Linked DNA regions of Sus scrofa. The protein of the gene in region 3 interacts with the protein of the main gene of each other region in a pairwise test. Links are inferred from orthologs where the notes say so. Each region holds a gene or a part of one and is shown on either strand. Other genes may lie near its edges. The genes, in order: CREB5, USF1 and FOSL1.

Evidence for each region.
Region 1: the proteins of FOSL1 (region 3) and CREB5 interact in binary tests that used the Homo sapiens proteins (3 or more experiments, as listed by UniProt). The two-hybrid records come from large-scale screens. The link is inferred for Sus scrofa from reciprocal best matches to the Homo sapiens genes FOSL1 and CREB5.
Region 2: the proteins of FOSL1 (region 3) and USF1 interact in binary tests that used the Homo sapiens proteins (3 or more experiments, as listed by UniProt). The link is inferred for Sus scrofa from reciprocal best matches to the Homo sapiens genes FOSL1 and USF1.

The regions. Positions count from the first base shown.
Region 1 is NC_010460.4:44,260,506-44,266,302, forward strand, and holds the start of CREB5 (cyclic AMP-responsive element-binding protein 5), read right to left. Parts: upstream 3,972-5,797; 5' UTR 3,892-3,971; intron 3,886-3,891; exon of another isoform or gene 3,405-3,885; 5' UTR 328-3,404; coding exon 325-327; intron 1-324. UniProt on the Homo sapiens protein: Binds to the cAMP response element and activates transcription.
Region 2 is NC_010446.5:89,393,399-89,399,210, reverse strand, and holds the start of USF1 (upstream stimulatory factor 1), read right to left. Parts: upstream 3,912-5,812; 5' UTR 3,516-3,911; intron 3,448-3,515; exon of another isoform or gene 3,165-3,447; intron 3,148-3,164; exon of another isoform or gene 2,986-3,147; intron 1,908-2,985; 5' UTR 1,823-1,907; coding exon 1,815-1,822; exon of another isoform or gene 1,800-1,814; intron 1,452-1,799; coding exon 1,402-1,451; intron 1,245-1,401; coding exon 1,129-1,244; intron 828-1,128; coding exon 726-827; intron 485-725; coding exon 289-484; intron 40-288; coding exon 1-39. Other genes in the region: ARHGAP30 (rho GTPase-activating protein 30), read right to left, coding at 5,782-5,812.
Region 3 is NC_010444.4:6,427,660-6,433,456, reverse strand, and holds the start of FOSL1 (fos-related antigen 1), read right to left. Parts: upstream 3,300-5,797; 5' UTR 3,051-3,299; coding exon 2,961-3,050; intron 981-2,960; coding exon 783-980; intron 1-782.

The DNA.
Region 1 (5,797 bases), on a different chromosome or scaffold from region 3:
AAAGGGAATTCTTACCTGCCACGTTATTTAACACGCTTTGTAGCTCCCCCACTGCAGTTCCCATGCTTATGAACATTATTTTACCCAGAAAGTAATGGTCTTATTCACAGATACACACACACACACACACACACACACACACACAAAACCTTCCACACAAAAAATGCTATCAAGATCCAGGAAACTGGCAAAAGCCACATTCAAAGTCAACGTAAAATAAGAACTCCATTTGTGAATTTCACCTATGAAAATACAAGATTGTTCTCATTTAGCCAACCACAAAGTTCCCTTTCTGCTTAATAAGCGGAGCAAACATCATCTTACCATTATCTGTAGAATAAAATCAGCAACGTGTTGCTTCCTGCAGTCACCCAATCAAGATTTTTTTTTCTTCCTGTCTTTCTAGCAACGTCTTTTTCACCAGCAAGATTAGGAAGAAAATAAAGCTTTGAGTGTTTGCCTCAGTAGTTCAGATCACAAGACCGTGAAGCTAGCTCTTAGCCCAAAAAAAAAAAAAAAAAAAAAGAACAGGTCTGGTATTTTACAATCACTGCTGCAACCCAGAGGTACCTCCTGGTCTCCCCGTACCTCCTCTCCTCCTGGGTTCTACGTTTCTTTTAGTAATGAGACCAATTTTTCCAGAAGCCTTGAACTCCCTAGATTCAACTGACATGGAAAATGTGACTAAAAACTTGTAGAACTGTCTAGCCTCCAACCCTGCACAGAATCAACTTTGTTGTGAGTGTGGGAGAACACCTCGCAAGCAGCTACTTGCTCCTTTGGACTCCTGCAGGACACAGCACAGCACACCAAATAGCAGTGCGCCATCTAGTTAGCAAGCTGCACTCTCCCTTCTAGAAGGGGGGACACCTTCAAACCCTGGGAGTTAAGGACTTGTCAGGGTCCAGCTGCTTTAAAGGTCCAATTGTTTATTTAAATAAAAAAAAATATCGCTACTGAGATAATCCACATCAAGTGGATATGGGAAAATTTAGGTTATAATGGCACTACAAACTTTTACATCTAACTTTGATTTACAAGATAAAAGCAAGTTTTAAATTAAAAGGGCTTTCTGTTAATAGAGCTTATTATTCTGAAGACGGGGAATGATTTTCTTCGAAAGTTGTCCCTGGGTGCATGCCTATTATCTTTGCTTTCCCCCTTCCACTAATGAGCATTTATCTAAAGAGCCTGTTAATCCTCTGATGTGTGCTTCTGGTCAGAGGTAACAGTTTGAATAAAACCACTAATCACTGATCACTAAATCACTGATCATTAATCACACTCTCCAGTGCTGGTGACCCGGGCCATTTTTCCCTTTGGGTCTATGTATGCATCACAAACAAGAAGTTTAACATTTTAGATGCACATGTATTGTGTGGGGGTTATACTATTTCATCTCTAGATGTGAATAAATAATAAACACTGCCACAAACTTGGGGAAGGAGATGTCAATTAGACCCCAGACAGGAGTTTCACAAATGCCTACTCTACAGCACGGCTTTCACTTTGAAGAAAGCAGATTTGATTATAACAAGACACGCATGCTTCAAGAAATTCCCACATACTCAGAATATAAATTTTCCTTTATTTAACTTTCACCAACTCCAAATCAGAGAGCCCTGAAACTCTCTGCCCTCCTCCATCCAAAATCCTGTTAGGAAATCTTCTATTTGACTCCTGCTGCACCCCCGCACCCCCACCCCTCGGAGATCTTTTTACTTTTATCCCTTAAACGTGTCACAAACAGTATTTTTATTTCAACTGCCAGATACGGAGATTCTGGCTCGATTCAGTGACTTCCATACTTAACTTCCTCTTTAAATAAAGAAACTTAAGGTTAAGATTAAGAAAGTAACACACGCCCCAATTTATTGTATAGTATTCGGGTTCCAAGACTCACATTCCCTAACTTTGGAAATGAAACGTTTAATCTTGAGCCTTTCGGATAAATTTGATTTAGTCAGCACAACCTCGCCATCCCCCTCCGGCTAACTGCTGGAAGGAAAGAGGAAGGCGTTATGTAAAATTAAGTACTTTGTTTGCTGTGGGTGTGTTGTTTTCCTAAGTCAACACAGGGACGTGGTATTATCCACCGTAGCGTCTCTAAACATTTCCTGAGATGCCTTTTCTATCAGGACTAAGTTATTTTTGCCCTAGAGGAGAGGGCTCGCTAGCGCCTTTCTTAAATAATAGAAAAGGGCAGCTTGTGTGCCCGCAGATCAGGTACTGTGCCCCCCTCAGCCGCCAGAAGCTCTCACCACGCTCCAGGGACTGTGACCGCCCCAGGGAAAGCAGTAAAAGGCGGAGGCGGGGCCAGAGTGATAACGGTATGGGCGGGAGAGAGCGGGCGGAGAAGGAGGGGTCCAGAGGGAGAGGGTAATAAAGATGCCCAGGGAATCGGCGATTGTACGAGTATGGTGGGGGCTGGGGATGGAAAGCATAGTTGCTTTGTCAGCACTTCTAAGCCCCTAACCCTTGAGTATCTGAAGCTGTTAATCAAACACTTACGGCCTGCAGAATGACGTAATGGACCTGTCTCCAGCCTTTATTCCTTGACACATGTCAGAGAGGGAGGGAAAAATAAAAATCATACACTCTGCGGGCTCTGACAACGAAATACACAAGAGACCCACTTGAGTTCCCGGCCCTGTACCAGCCTCAAGTGGGGGCGGCACCCGTTCAAGGAAAGTTAGGGAGGAGTGGACAAGATCAAGATCGGGGGCTTCATCTACCAGATTAGCACCCCCCCCAATAAACCTATAGCAAAAGAAAAGCGAAATGCAGCCGACGGGGAAAAAACATCTCTTTGGTTGCTTCGTGCGTCTTGCCCCTCTAAGACCGTCGTGAAAAGTTTTAAGCGATTCCTTGAAGAATCTGCCTGGAGAAGAGGGCTTCGCCGCCGCCGTATCCTGGGAACTGCCACCGCGCCGCCGCGGCAAAAGCGGGAGCTGTCATTTGGGGCAGCAGCGGAGAAGAGGTAATGATGCCAACGAGAACCGGACGGAGGCAAGAGGTGGCTGGAGGAATGAAGGCGAGAAGAGCCTCGCCACTCTCCAGCCCTCCGCGCCCGGAGTGAAAGCAAAGTGCCCTCCAAGAGCGACGTCCCCTCCCAGGGCGCGCGCGCCCACCACCTGGGGCCGGCAGCCCTGCGGGAGAGGTGGCAGCAGCAGGCTCAGCACCGGGGAGGGAGCGAGCCCCCCGCGCGCCCGTCCATCCGCCCCCTAGGTGACCCGGCGTCCTCGCCGCGCCCGCTGGAAGTTTGCAAACTTTTTCCGGGGGTTCCGCCGCATCACCGGGAAGTTGGGGACGCGGGGGGCGGTTCCTGGCTCGCCGTCTCCGCTGCCGCCACCGCTGACGCCGCTTGACCGCACTTCTGGAGGGTTCCGCACCTTGCCAGGTCTCTGGAGGCAAACACACACCCCCGATTCATAACTGTTCCCCGTGTCAGGGAAACACACGCGCGCTCCCACACACGCACGCACGCCGGGGCTGACACGGCGCTCGCTCCACGTTAGCATCCCTCCAGTCGCACGGCGCGGCGGCCACCGAGACGCGCTCCGGGACGGACTCGGCGTGGGGTCTCTGGGGTAGCCTCAGGACACAGCCGAATTCCACGGTCCACCAGCATTGGGGGACGGACTTCCCTCTGGTCCGCCAGAGTGTTTACAAACACAGATCATCCTCCAAAAAAAAAAAAAAAATGCATCGCATCTTCCCCTACTTCTTGCCCTGTGACCTGCCCACTAGACCAAGTAACCTCGCGGCTGCTGCCGAGAACCAGCCCCTGCAAACAAGTACGTTCCCGAGATGGCTCCCGCGGCAAGTGCAACAAAAGTGGCTAAATGCAAAAGCCCCAGAAGTGGCCGAGCCGTATTTTTAGGAACTTACCAAACAAGTGTGGAGAAGGCAAGAGCGGAGCCCGGGTGAAGGGACCACGTTGGACTGAGCAAAGATTACAATACATTCTATTTAGAGTGCATTACATCACCCCCCCGGTGACGTCACGTGGGATTCCTGAACTTCTAAATCATTGCGGCCCGTGGGGGGGTGGGGGGAGGAGGGAGGGGCGGGGCCGGCGCGCCGAGGGGGCGGGCCCCGCCCGCGCACCGCCCCACCAGCCGACTCTGGTGCACCCGCGGGGGAGCGGCGGCGGCAGCGGCGACCGCGCGAGCAACAGCTTGCAGAGGCCAGCGCCGTGTGACACGGCTCCCTGACATTAGTGGTGTGAGTCAGCTTGGAAACAATCGTCACGGTTTCAGACGGGACCACGGAGGAGGCAGGGACCTGGGCTCTCCCGTGAGGAGGGCCTGGTGGCATTTGAAAGGTGTGGGGACGGGGAGTAGGGGAAGGGTGGGAATGGGGAGTAGAGGAAGGGTGGGGAGGGGGTGCAGACGAATGCGGGAAGAGACTTTCTACAAACAGAAATGAGGAACGCTCCCCCTTCCCCCACCAGCAGATGTCCAGCTCCTTTTTGCCTGCGACAGTCGTGACCTCATTACAGTGTTCCCTGCATCCTGGCTTCTCAGAGCATTCACTCGACACCCCTTTTCACGGCCCTCCCCCCCCCCCGCCGCGCCCCATTTCACCTCCAAAGGAATAACTTCTTTATTGTGCACACTCATTTGGAATGTGATGCCCCTGTCCTTCCCAAGACCCCTGCTTCATGAGTGTGAGAAGCTGGAAGGAGCGTTGTTCCTGCAGGCGAAAGGTGAATTACAGCTAGAGCCAAATGATGAGCCTGATTTAGACTCAGCGTCAGATCCGGAAGGGCCCTTGGCGCTCACTTCCAGAGCCTCCTCTGTTACTTGCCCAAGCTCATAAGCTGGCAAGTGGCAGAGCCAGAGCCGGAATGCAGGATTCGGGGCCCTGGTCTGCAGTACGTTCCTGACAGCTCAGTGAGAGAAGGAGCCTGGTGTTTTCAGCATCAGCCAGGTCACCATGGCCATCCCCAGCTTAATTTCCATTCGGATGTTCTCTCTGTGAGTCGGACTCAAAGGGAAGGCAGAGGCTAAATCCAGGAGATGCCAGACATCTCAGAGCACCACGGTCATCCTTGCAGCAGCTCACACTTTGCAAAGCACTGGAACCCACGTGGAACTCCCCTGATTCTCACAACAACCCAGCACAAGGAGAAGTAGGGCAGGTGTTATAATTATCCCCATTTTACAGGGAGCCAAGGCAAATTCCAGAAGCTTAGGGGGCTGGCCTGAAGCCACTGGATAACTCCCGCCCCTGTTTTAAAACTCCAAATCCTAACTGGACTCCTTTCTAGAACCAGGGCGGAGCTTTCCATTCTCATGGGTTATTGATGGTTAGAACCTTTGCTGAGGACGAGTTGGCTGGGAGTCCAAGCTTTGCTTAGGAACAGTTTAGCCCCCATTAACAAACAATAATCATTCCTGACATTTATGTAACATCTGACATTTATATAGCACCTCTCATCCCAATGCATCATAACCATGACTGTGCAGTTTGCCAGAGAATCATGACTGGACTGGCTAGAAACTGTCGTGCTTTGCCTGGATCGTCACATACTTCTGAGCTGGTTTTGCCATACTAAATGGAAGAGCTCTGTGTTTCCTTTCTATTTTTTAAGTGTTTAAACAACTCTCTTTCTTGGTGTTTCTTGAGACCACAGGGACTGCTGACTATTCCTTTCCCACAGCTTGATTCAGAACTCATCACTGCGTTTCCTATTTGTTCTCTTCCACGTGTAGCCCTGAAGGAATTGCAAAAGAAGGGCTCCAGTCCTAACTTGAATCTTAACTAATAAAACTTTTAAAATGACAGCTCA
Region 2 (5,812 bases), on a different chromosome or scaffold from region 3:
GTAACACTTCTTGTGGTGACATCATCACAAAGAACTGACCTGTGAAGATGTAGGGGAGGTGCTGTCAGGACATGGGACTAGGAACCTCACCAAGCTCTAAGGCCAAAGCCCTGGGACCCTCCTCTAAAAAGAACATCCTTCCTCCTGCTGGAAGGGCAGCCCCGGACTCACTGCCTACCCAGGTCTTAGTGATCATTAAGGGATCATGAATAAAGGCCCACTGCCCACCGGTTGTGTCCCACAGTCTATCCTAGACCCTCCAGCCAGCATCCTCACACAATATCTCACCAGTGCCAGGAGGGGTCGCCTGCCCCAGTAGTGCCTCTGAGCCCTGGGTAGTAACAACAGCTGCTGTACTCCCCGATGTGGTACCCCCTGCCCCATCTCCCACTGCAGTGCTGGGGAAGTAAGTATAGTGCGTCTCAGCAGCTGTCCCCTCTGTGTCAACTGCATCATCACTCGTGAACGCACCCTGGATCACGGCCTGGGAAAGGGAGCAGAAGAAAAGAGAGAAGTGACAGTCAGATACTTTCAGTGCATTACTCTACTACTTCTATCCCTAGGGAGGAGGGAAGTAGAAACATCCAGAAAGGGAGAGCCTAGAGCTTTGGGTCAAGGCAGCTATAGCTGCCTCACCATCCCGTGCCACACCCCCATCCTATTGGTTCCCTTCTTCGTCTCCATACTCAGAGCTCCAGTCCCCTCCCCAGTCCATACGCCTGTACCTGGGTCATGGATTGAGTGGCAGGGTAGCCACTGATGGCGCCAGTCCCCTCAGTCTGGCCATCCAGCTGCCCCTCAGACACCTGGATCACCCTGTACATCACCTAGAGGCAAGGAGGAAAAGGGAAGAAGGGGAAGGGAGAACAAGAGAGTAAGTGCCAGGGACAGGGTCCCCAAACAAGAATCCTTCAGAAACATACAGTTAGCCATTCCCTTGCCTTTCCCCATATAGAGGTTTCAGCATAACCCCTACCCCACACCAATCTCTACTCCACCCCCCACCTTCCAGACAGTCCACATCTTCACCTCATCCTCCAATCCAGGTCTCCCCATGTGACAGGTTCAGTTACCTCCCCCATTCCCAATCCCAGATAACACCTGCAGCCACCTGGCCCCCTCCCTTACCTGGCCCCCATTTTCAGTTCGGAAGACGTACTTGACGTTGGGGTCAGGGAAAGTGGCAGCTGACTGGATGCTGGCAATTGCCACACTGGTTGGGTCCTCCCCAGTTGCCACCGCACCTGAATTAAAAGGAAAAGTCTGTGAGTTACTGCCTTTTCCTCTCTGTTCCACCTACGTGTCATTTAGAAGAAGGTTACACAAGTGATGGGCCCATGGGGTGGGGGAGAGGCCCCAGTGGGCTCTTGGTCTTAGCTCAGTTCTGTTTCTCCCACTTACCTTCCTGAATCTGCACTGTCCCCTCTTCCGTTTCAGCTGTTTTCTGCTGCCTGTTTGTGAGGGGACAAAAAAATATGGGAAAAAGTGAATGAAAAGCTCACTGGCCCAATAACATATGGCTCCCAAACTCACTGGCACTCCCAGCAGATGCTCGGTTAGGTCAGAATAACAAGAGCTAGTATTTATTTAGTGCTGAGCTAAGCACTTAACAGGCAATATCTTACTTAGTACTAAGAACAGCACTGTGTGGTAGGTAGCACTGCCTGCATTTTATAAACAGGAAACCAGATCACATAGCTAGGTGATGGAGCTGGGACCTAAATCTAGGTCTGCCTGACTCCAGAATCAGTGCTCTTAGCCATTTTGCATTCTCCCAGGCCTCCCAAACCAGACCCTACCTCTTCTTCACTCACCCCTTCATCTCTCTGTGAGGGGGCACATCCGAGGAACTGGTCCTTCTTTGGAAGTCTTCGTATCTCCTGCCTCACAGGCCTGAGTGCTAAGTCCTGGTAGAAATCAGGAAGTCTAGTGAGTCTAAGAAACTGGAAGTCTCCTCTTTCTAGAACTAGGCTCCATGAAGACACATCCAGGAACATAAACCAATCATCTGCAGGGGACAATCAGCTTTCTCCATTCTGATGCTGAAGACTGTCTACAGTGACTGAAAGAGCAATTATATGAATAGTGTTTCTCGCCCCTCCAATTATCACTCCAACTCCTGATGGAGAAGAGATAATTATACTGAAAGACTAAGAAATAACGTATTTCTGGATGGATTATTATTAAAGCTATCATGATCTGCCATGACATGGAGATTAGAAGGACCATGTTTAGACCACAGCTATCAAAAAACACAAGGTCTTGGATGTTGATGCTTCTTCCCACTTCTCAAGCATATATTGTACATCAAGAAATTCCTGTCCTCAAATCTAAGAAAGGGAAACCTGAACCCACTGGAGAACCTCCAGAACCATAAAAGACCAGATTTGGCCCTTGGGCATCATTCTACTGACAGGGCTCTTGTTTTGGGAGTCCAGATTTACCTCATTCATTAAAGACCCTAAAGCCCAAGTGTATCCTCTTCAAGCCCCTTCTATTTTATTCACTAAGCCTTCCTGTAGAACAACACAGTTGCTAAAATGTTGCCATGACAACTCCAAATCAACCAAGCCTCAGCAAGAAGAGGGAAACTCCAGGTTCAGGGTTTGGAAGAAGAGATAATGGAGGAAGAATCCATCTAAGAGGTGCCTGCCTTACAACCCTGACACTGAAGTTCTCTTGCGGCACAGCGGTAAGGATCCAGCAGCAGTTGTCACTGCAGTGGCCTGGGCTGCTGCTGCGGTGCGGGTTCAACTCCCGTCCTGGGAACTTCCACATGCCCGCCCCCACCCCCTGCTAGGCCAAAAGAAAAAAAAAAAAAAAAAAAAAAAAGACCCTGACACCCAGTGGGGGTAAGTGAGGGTGGCGGCGGCAGGAAAAACAAAGGGCTGAGAAGACAGATGCCTCTAGAAAGAAATAGCAATATAGTACAAAGCAATAAGTAATCCCGACAGGAAAGGGGTAAGATTTTTTTAAGTTCTCTACCTGTAAGGGTCTCCCAAACCTTTATCTTCAGCGGTTAAGTCATGGAAAGCCCATATCCAAAGTGTTCACAAAAAAGAAAAAAAAAGGAACTGAAAATGAAACTGTCCGGAGCAAGTAGCGCTGCAATTAAGATCCGGTCCCTAAGGGGGAAGTAGCACCAGTATTTCGGGACCACCTACCTCTCCATCCTCGAACGTACGGAGGAAGTGCCCCTCTGAAGCTTGCTGCGCTGACAGCAGAAGGAAGCAATGAAACAAGAGGGCAGGGCAGAGGAGGCGTCTCTATGGCCCACAGCTGTCAGCCGGGGCAGCCTCTGAGGACGCCCAGCAACGGGGTCAAGATACTTATTCAAATCTTAGTAGGGCATCCAGAAGCATTTCCTGAGCGTTAGGGGTATGCGACAGGAAAGTGGGATAGGATGTCGTAGCGTGCACGCTCAGGCAAAGGGGGGGGGGGGAGAGCCCTGGCTAAGTCTGGACACAAAGGGAAAATAATCAAGTCCCCAAAGAAGGCTGGCGCCTAGACCTTGCCTGAGAATGCGGCGTCTCCCTGCAGGCCCATCAAGCAGTAGGCGCTTAAGAGCTGAGCGCCGGTCGGGCGCGAGCCCAGGAGCCCGCGCCGTGACCCGTCCAGCCCGGCCCGTCACATCCCGAGACCCCGCTGCTCCGCAGAGGCAGGAATTGAGGCCGGGGGTTCAGCGGATCCCGTGGTCTTGGCCCCGCGGCCCGCGGCTGCCATCGAAGGAGAGCGCGCCCGGGGGCGGGGAGTGAGTTCGGCCCACAAAAGGGGGTAGGAGATAAAGATCAGGCACGGCCCCCTCCCTCCAAACAAAAGCTTCCGCCCCAGGAGTTTCTGGACCTAAAAAACGGAAATAAAATCGAAGCTGCTCTCCCCCGCCTGCCCACCCAGTCTCCAGACTCTCGTCGGGTCCTGCACTCACCAGCCAAGGCCGCCGCAGGCTCCTATTTCCCTGGACCGAGTTCTCCCTCTCTCGACTCGGGTAGCTCCTTGGACAGCTGATCATGCGCACTACCGGCTCACAGCCATGTTGGTGAGGGGCGGAAGTGTCTCCTCCCGTCCGCCCAGCCTACACAGCCTCTGTGCTGCCCCACTTCCGTTCGCTCCATCTTGCCGGGGGCTGAAGGATGCGAGCGTGTTGGAGGTGTTGCTGGGGTGGGGAAGAAGCCACGACCGGGGATCCTTGGAGAATGACACTGAAGTCCTAGTCGCTCTAGCAAGGACGGAAGAAAGACGACTAACTTGGTGCTACTATTTTTCTGCTGGACAGGGCCTTTTTAGCTCCAGGAGAAGGGCGTGAGAGAGGCCAGCTTGGATCAAGCGAGGGACATCGGATGGAGGCGCCATCTTTAACAAGGGCTCTTTGGGAGGCCATCTTGGATCAGTATACCTGTTTGTGGTTGCTTATTAGACATTAGGACATAGCTGGTATAAATAGATCTGGATATACTTATTTGTATTAGGGTTAGAAGGCACCTAAAGACCCTCCAGGGCTTCCAGTTTTTGAGAGGCTCACAGTTTCTGGGAGAGGCATCTTGATTCCCATTCTTTTTCAGTCAAGACCTACCCTCAAGTTGCGGGGGCGGTAATGAGACGAGTTCAGAGCCTGGAGCCAGACAAACTCGGGTCTCAGACCTAACTCTGCCACTTCTTGGCTCTGAAACCTTTGGCAAACCTTTTGACTTAATTTAGTTTCCTCATCTGTGAAATGGATTTACCTGTACCAACCTTTTAGAATTATTAAGTGGATTCAGAAAAATCAGGAGCATAGACTATGTGCACATAGAATACCTAGCCTTTACTGGCACATAATGAGCATTATGCAAATATAAGTTTCTCTTCCGCATTTCCTGACCACCATGAACCCAGCTCTAGTTTCCAGCCGCAGGTCTCTATGGCAACAACTGAGGAAGAGCACCCAAACAATAAAAGCAGAAAAGACAACGAATGGTCAAATATTTGAAAATATGATACCTGTCACTCAAGACTTTAATAAGAGTAATGAAACTCCACACTATTTACGTGTAAAAATACAACTTTTATTATGAGACATTGCCCCTTGGGATTCGTGGCCCCCAGCCTATCCAGACAAGTAGTCCCAGGGTGTAAGTGACATCATTCCCCTTCCCTGAAATAGGAAGTTATTCCGAAGGGAAAAGAAGAGGGCAGAGAGATCTGTACAAGACCTCTCTGTCTTGAGATGCAGGGAGGCAGAAAGTAGGGGAGCTAGGAAGGGAGCCTGTCCCTCCAACAAATACTACAGGGTTCAAAAAGTTTCTTGGACATGTTCCTCCTAAGCTGAGGAGCAGGAGGCGTTTAACAGCCCCAAAGTAGAACAAGGATGGGTAACTCTAGAAGTGTTTGTGTATAATAAGCTCCGATATGGCCCTGACCTCTGCCTTTACCCTGGACTTCCATGAAGAGAAGTTCATTGCCTCAGAGGATGGCAGGAACTTGGCTGGAGTTCCCCCGTCATTCTTCACTTTGAGAAACCTGTAAGTTTTTCTACCTACTCTTTGTTCCCTTTGGCCAATGACCCCACTCTCTGGGAACAGGATCTTGGTGACTCTTTCTGGAATCTCCTAAGGGATAAGTGCTTTGTGTCTGAGACAAGCTCAAGTAAACAGAGATAGTGCCTCTCACAGTCAAAGAGAAACTGGAGGGCCAAAACCTATAGGGTTGGGCACTACAGCTACTCAGGCTGCAGAAGAGACAGCTTCAGAAACCACGGAGTTTCAAGACAACTACTGTCCTCTTTGCCCTGTGGTCTGGTCCTAATCACAGTCCCTTCCCTTTCCCAGAGTTAGCC
Region 3 (5,797 bases):
CTTCTGAGATCTTAGGCAAGTGACCACCTCTCTGTGCCTTCATTTCCTTGGCTGTCAAAAGGGGAAGCCAGCGTCCATTCCCAAGAGGGTTTTTGCGAGGATCAAATGAGACAGGGAAACCGTACCCCAGAGAGTAGCTGAAGGGAACTCTCTCCTTCCCCTTCTCTCCCCAGCTCCACAGACAGCTCAGGCCACCCTCCACTGTCCACACGACTTTCCATCTTATACATTCTCCCTTCCACCTCCAAGCCTTTTTTTTTTTTTTTTTTTTTTGGTGCTTCAGGGCCACACCTGTGGCATATGGTGGTTCCCAGGCTAGGGGGTGAATTTGAACTGCAGCTGCCAGCCTACACCACAGCCACAGCAATGCTGGATCCCTGACCCACTGGGTGAGGCCAGGAATTGAACCCTCATCCTCATGGATACTAGTCGGATTTGTTTCCGCTGCGCCATGACGGGAACTCCTCCACCTCCATTCCTGCTCCTGCCATCCCCTCTACCTGGAAGGGACATGCAAATCTCTCTATGCAAATCCCACCTATATTTCTCAGCTAATATGCCTCCACCTCCAGGAAGTTTTCCCTGATCCACCAGTGACCACTTTGCCTTCTGGGTCTCCCCAGGGGCTCTTATCACTTTCTGCCTTGGCCAGTAGTCACCAGTGGACCTATTCTCCCCACCCTCCTTCTAAGCCTGTGTTCTGCTTTTCAGCAAGAGCTTATCTTTTTCACCTCAGCAGCCCTGCGGGCACAGGAACCTGTGCAAATGCCTCTGCTCCTTACCTGTTCACAGTGCCGGCGACGCACTGCCGGAGTTGGCCCCAGAGCCCGGATGACTCCCGGCCGGGGTTGTGGGGGACTGTACTGGGGGTACGCCAGAGGCCTGGGGTAGCTGCTGGGTCCCAGGAAGTGAGGCTGTACCATCCACTGCAGCTCCTGGCTGCCACTCACAGCGTTGATGCTTGGCACGAGGTGGAACTTCTGAGGGATAAGACACAGAGGACTAGGGATGAGGTCTGTAGGGACGGAGGGGCTTCCAGGGGACAGAAGTCACACTGCTGCCCACCCTCAAGGCAGCTGCTGGTTCTGAGAGACCAGAGAGGGCGCAGCTTGGCAGGCATCCCTGCTTATGAACTGTGTGACTTTAGGCAGGTCACACAACCTCTGGGGCCTCCATTTCTCCCATCGGAGCTAAGAAAGTGTGAATTCCAGGCACTGGCCCAACGACTTTGCTAATCCTGACTCATATAATTTACACAACAGTATCTTCATTTTCAGACAGGAAAACAGTTCTCCATAGACGCACAGCCAGTAAGTGGGAAGCAGGTTTGTGCCCAGGAAGCCAGGCCCTTGCCCACTCTTGCACGCAGCCTGAGTCTCATCAGCATGAAGAGGAGAGTGACAGCTTCTGGCTTCAAGGGTGATTGTGAGAATCAGGTGAGAGGATGTGTGTGAGAGAGCCTGGTAAGTGTGGACAAGGACCACTGCTCTGGGTTCAGGCTATCCCGGCTTTGATCTTAACTCAGCCATTTACTGGCTCTCTGGGCAAATTATTTAATCTCAGTGTGCCTCAGTCTCCTCGTTTTTAATATTGTCACAGGGAGGGATTACAGCATTTCAATGATGCTAAGAAGTACCCTTTAGTGGCCCTGAATAGCAGCTCTCATAGTTCAATTGGCAACTTGAAAACAATTTTTGTGCTACAAAATAATGATGGGTTTTAGTATCAGTGGGGTCTTAGATTCTAGGAGTTAAGATAAATGAGGCGGAAACTGCCCGGCACCAGGCAGAGCTGCACAGTATGTGCTCCAGGTATCACCTGCCACAATTCCCTTCCAGCCAGAAACGTGAGGAATGGGTTGAGATGGGGGCTTACTGTTTGGAAAAAGAACTAGATTCAAGCCCTGGGTGTGGGCGCCCAGTCGTCCGGGAAGCGCCCCACAAGCCCAGACAAGTCAGGACAGCAGTGTCCCCGGCTTAGTGCTGCGGGCCCAATGGCCCAGTGACCCCAGTTTCGGGCCAAGGTACCGCCGGCGGCATCTCCAGCTCCCGAGGTTGTCCAGGCCCGGGCCCCTCCGGGCCAGGAAGGGAGGGGCGCCCCGCGTGAGTCAGCCACCGTGACTCGGCTGCCGTGACTCGGCGGAACGGACGCCGCTCCTTCCCTCCCCTAGCGACACGTGCTCACGGCCCCTCGACAGGAAATGGGCACCTGCAGCCTCCCAGGTTCCCCCCTGCCGGCAGCGGGCGCCGTTTGGTGCCGAGAGCCGGGGGCGCGGGACTTGCCCGCAGCCTGACCCCGCGCACGTCTCCCTGCACCTCACGGTCTCTGCCGGACGCATCCCGTAAAAGGGTCAAGAGCCGGTCTCCCGGAGCCCACCAGGCTCCACTGCGCCGAGATGATGATAAGGATCTGGCGACGGGATGGGGAGGGACAGACAAACGGGCGGGCGCCGGGATGATCACAGACAGACCGCCCAGGATTCCCAGTCTGCCGGGTCCAGCCCGCCGGTAGATCCTCTCTGTGCGAGGGGACATCTCGGCCGCAGCTCAGACTCCGGCTCTTGGAATTTAGTTCTCTTTGATTCTGCCGGGACTAGAACTCATCCCGGACAAGGGGTCCCCTTCGGACGCAGATGGGACAAAGAAATCGGCGGTGGACAGGAGGAAGGAAAGACGGTAACAGAGACGGAGGGACGGAGAGACCGCAGAGAGAGGGGGAAAGAGCGCGAGCCACAGAGGGGACGTTCGCAGATCTTCGTTCCCCCCCCCGCCGCGCGCGTCCCACTGGGCTGTGGGGGGAAAAGAGCCCTTGGACAACCGAGAATGGGCAGGATCCGCTGCCACCCCTCCGAGCCCCACTCCCTCCTGCGGTTCCCGGCCCCGGTCCGGATTGTGCTGGAGCGGCCCGCACCGTCTCAGGCGCTGTCCACCTGGGGACACTGGGCGTAGGGTTCCTCTCACCTGCTGGCCTGTCACCGGGGGCTGCGCCGGGCCGCCGTACGCACCTCCGGCCCCGGAGCTCGGTCCCGGTTCCCCGAAGTCTCGGAACATGCCCTGGGCTGGCTGCTCTGTGGGGTCCGTGTCGGCGGCTCTGGTTCTGACTCACTCGCTCCTCGCGGAGTCTTTTCTTTTTATGAATGAAAAGTCCTCGGGCTGAACCACTTCCACTGGGGCGGGGGGGGGCGTTCCTCAGCGGCGCTGGTCACCTCGGGGCTCCACCTCTGCAATCGCACCGCCTTTTGCCAGTCCGCCCTGAACTTTTCGTCGCCTCCTACAGCCGGCTAGCCGCTTTTTGGTGGGGAAAAAGGGCGGACTTGACGTCCCCCTGCGACAGCGGCAGGTCCGCCTCCTCTGACGTAGCTGCCCATACATGGTGCAATTTCCTCGCCGCGCCCAGGTGGAGCGAAGGATTCCCCCGCCGACGGAGGCACCTGCGCCCCGCCCAGCCCCGCCCCGCCTCGCCTCGCCCTCCACCTGCGCAGACCTAGATCCCGCCACCAGATCCCAGAGCCCTCAGTGTTTGCATCCGTAAAATGGGACGAAATAATCACACAGCGCCCTGGCCGCGCGTGGGAGGTTGGAATGAAAGGGGTCTGGAAACTGTAAAATGGGTTACAAATGTGATAGCATTATTATTATCATCATTATCATTATTTACTGGGTGCTTATTTCATGCCAGGAACCGTGCTACCGCCATCCAAGTCTGTGGTGTGAAGCCCTTTCACTGGCGTTGTCTTAAGGTTCAGGTTTACTAAAAAGTGAATGACAAACCAGGATTACAAAAGTGGTAGATACACACACACACACACACACACACACTTATTTGGCTGTGCCCGTTGGTATGCAGAAGTTGCCAGGCCAGGGATGGCATCCTCACCACAGCAGCGCCCCAAGCCACAGCAGTGACAGTGCCAGATCATCAACCTGTTGAGCCACCAGAGAACTCCAAAAATGGTGTATATTTTAAATGTTTACAATGACATGATAATGCTTTGAACTATCCCCAAATACTATGCAATGTAATTGCCCTACTCGCAGGGTAATTTCAGGAGTCAGGACAAGTTTTCATTCAGAACCTCTGTAAGCAGTGAAAGCCTGCAGTGGGGCACTTGTCCTGTGGTCTGATAAACATCATTTTCTTTAAATACTGTAACTACTCTTCCAGGACTGTGTGGTCACTAGCCTTGTTTGGAGATTACATCAAAAGTCTGTATGAATGTGAGGCCAGGGACAAATATCAACAGCCGAAGACCAGCAGCGCTGCGAGGTAGGTGCCATTATCGTCCCCATTTTACAGATGGGGGAAGTGAGGCTGAGAGATGTGGAAATGAAGGGCCCAAGATCACTAAGCAAGTGGCCGAAGCAGGTTGCCAAATCAGGGCTGTGGGAGCTCCCAGCCCAGGTTTGGGCAAGCGATTTCAAAGCCCTCACAGACAGCTTTTCACATATGTTGGTGCTGAGAGGACCGCCCCAAAGCTGCTTCTCTGTCTCTTCCCATTCTACAGATGAGGAAACTGAGGCCCAGATGAAGTAAGGAGCCGCCAGGGTCACTTGAGAGAGAGCTGGACGCTCCTGCTTTCCACTGGTACCTCCTTTTGATCAGTTCCAGCTTTGACCTCAGGGAAGGAGGATTTCAGGAAGGTGGGATCCTGGGCTGCTGTCCTTGGGGACAGAGGCCAAGGTCTGTAGATGCGTTCAGGACTTAGAGCCAAGAGGCCAGCCTGGCCTGGGGCTTGCAGTCCCAGAGTTACCATTTTCTATCTCTTACCCTGGGCAGGTCACCCTCCTTCTGAGTCCCGGCCCCAGTGGCAATAATTGAGCCTCCCGCTGACCTCATGGGGCTGCTGTGGGATTCAATGAGGTCACACATGTGAAAGTGCTTTGTAAGCTATAAAGTGATGTACGCTCAGAAGGTGGTTGCCAGCCTGGTGCCTCTCCCTTGCCCTTATTCTACTTGATGCTTGTCATTTTCTAAAGAGAAAAGAAACCAATGTTTACCAGAATGAGAATGAGAAATATACAGGTGTGTGGGTGTGGGTGGGTGGGTGTGGGTGGGTGTGTGAGAGAGAGAGGGAGAGGGAGAGATGGAAAGAGAGAGAGATTTTTTTGAGGCAGTGTGACTCATGGAAAGGAACATATGTGCGGGAATCAGACAAGTCTGAGAGCTGGCTTTGAATTCTACCAGGCTGCTCACCAGCAGTGTGACCTAGGTGAGGCCTCAGAGGTCTCAGAGCCTCCTCTGTAAAGTGAAGCCCTAATCATCATTGTATATAACTATATGATGATGACAACATCTCGGGATTGTTGGAGAATACGTATAAAATGCCATGTGCTTCGTGCAGCATATGACAATAGCAAAGATAAATACCTATGTTGATAAAAAGCCTCGGGTGGGAGTGCGGGGGCTCTGATCACTTGCTAAGGCAGTCATACAACACACATGTGCACACACACACACACACACACACTGAGATCTGAACTCCTCGGCTGAGCCCAAGCAGGACAGGTCAGGGTGACAGAGGCAGCCAGGTGGTGGCCTAACACAGGTCAGCCTTGACTGCATCCCTCTGCCGGTCCCAGAAACACCACCCTGCACTGCTCCCCAGGCAGCCTGGGACAGTGACAGATTAGGGGCTCAGATCTCAAGAGTGTGTGTGTGTGTGTGTGTGATTACAGGAGTCTGAAAGTCCCTTCCTGCTCTAACCGTCGGTGGAGCCACAAGGACGTCCTTTCAGAGGCAGCACATTCCAAGCTCCTCAGTCACTAACTCCCATTTCGTGGCTTCAGCAACGTTCCTG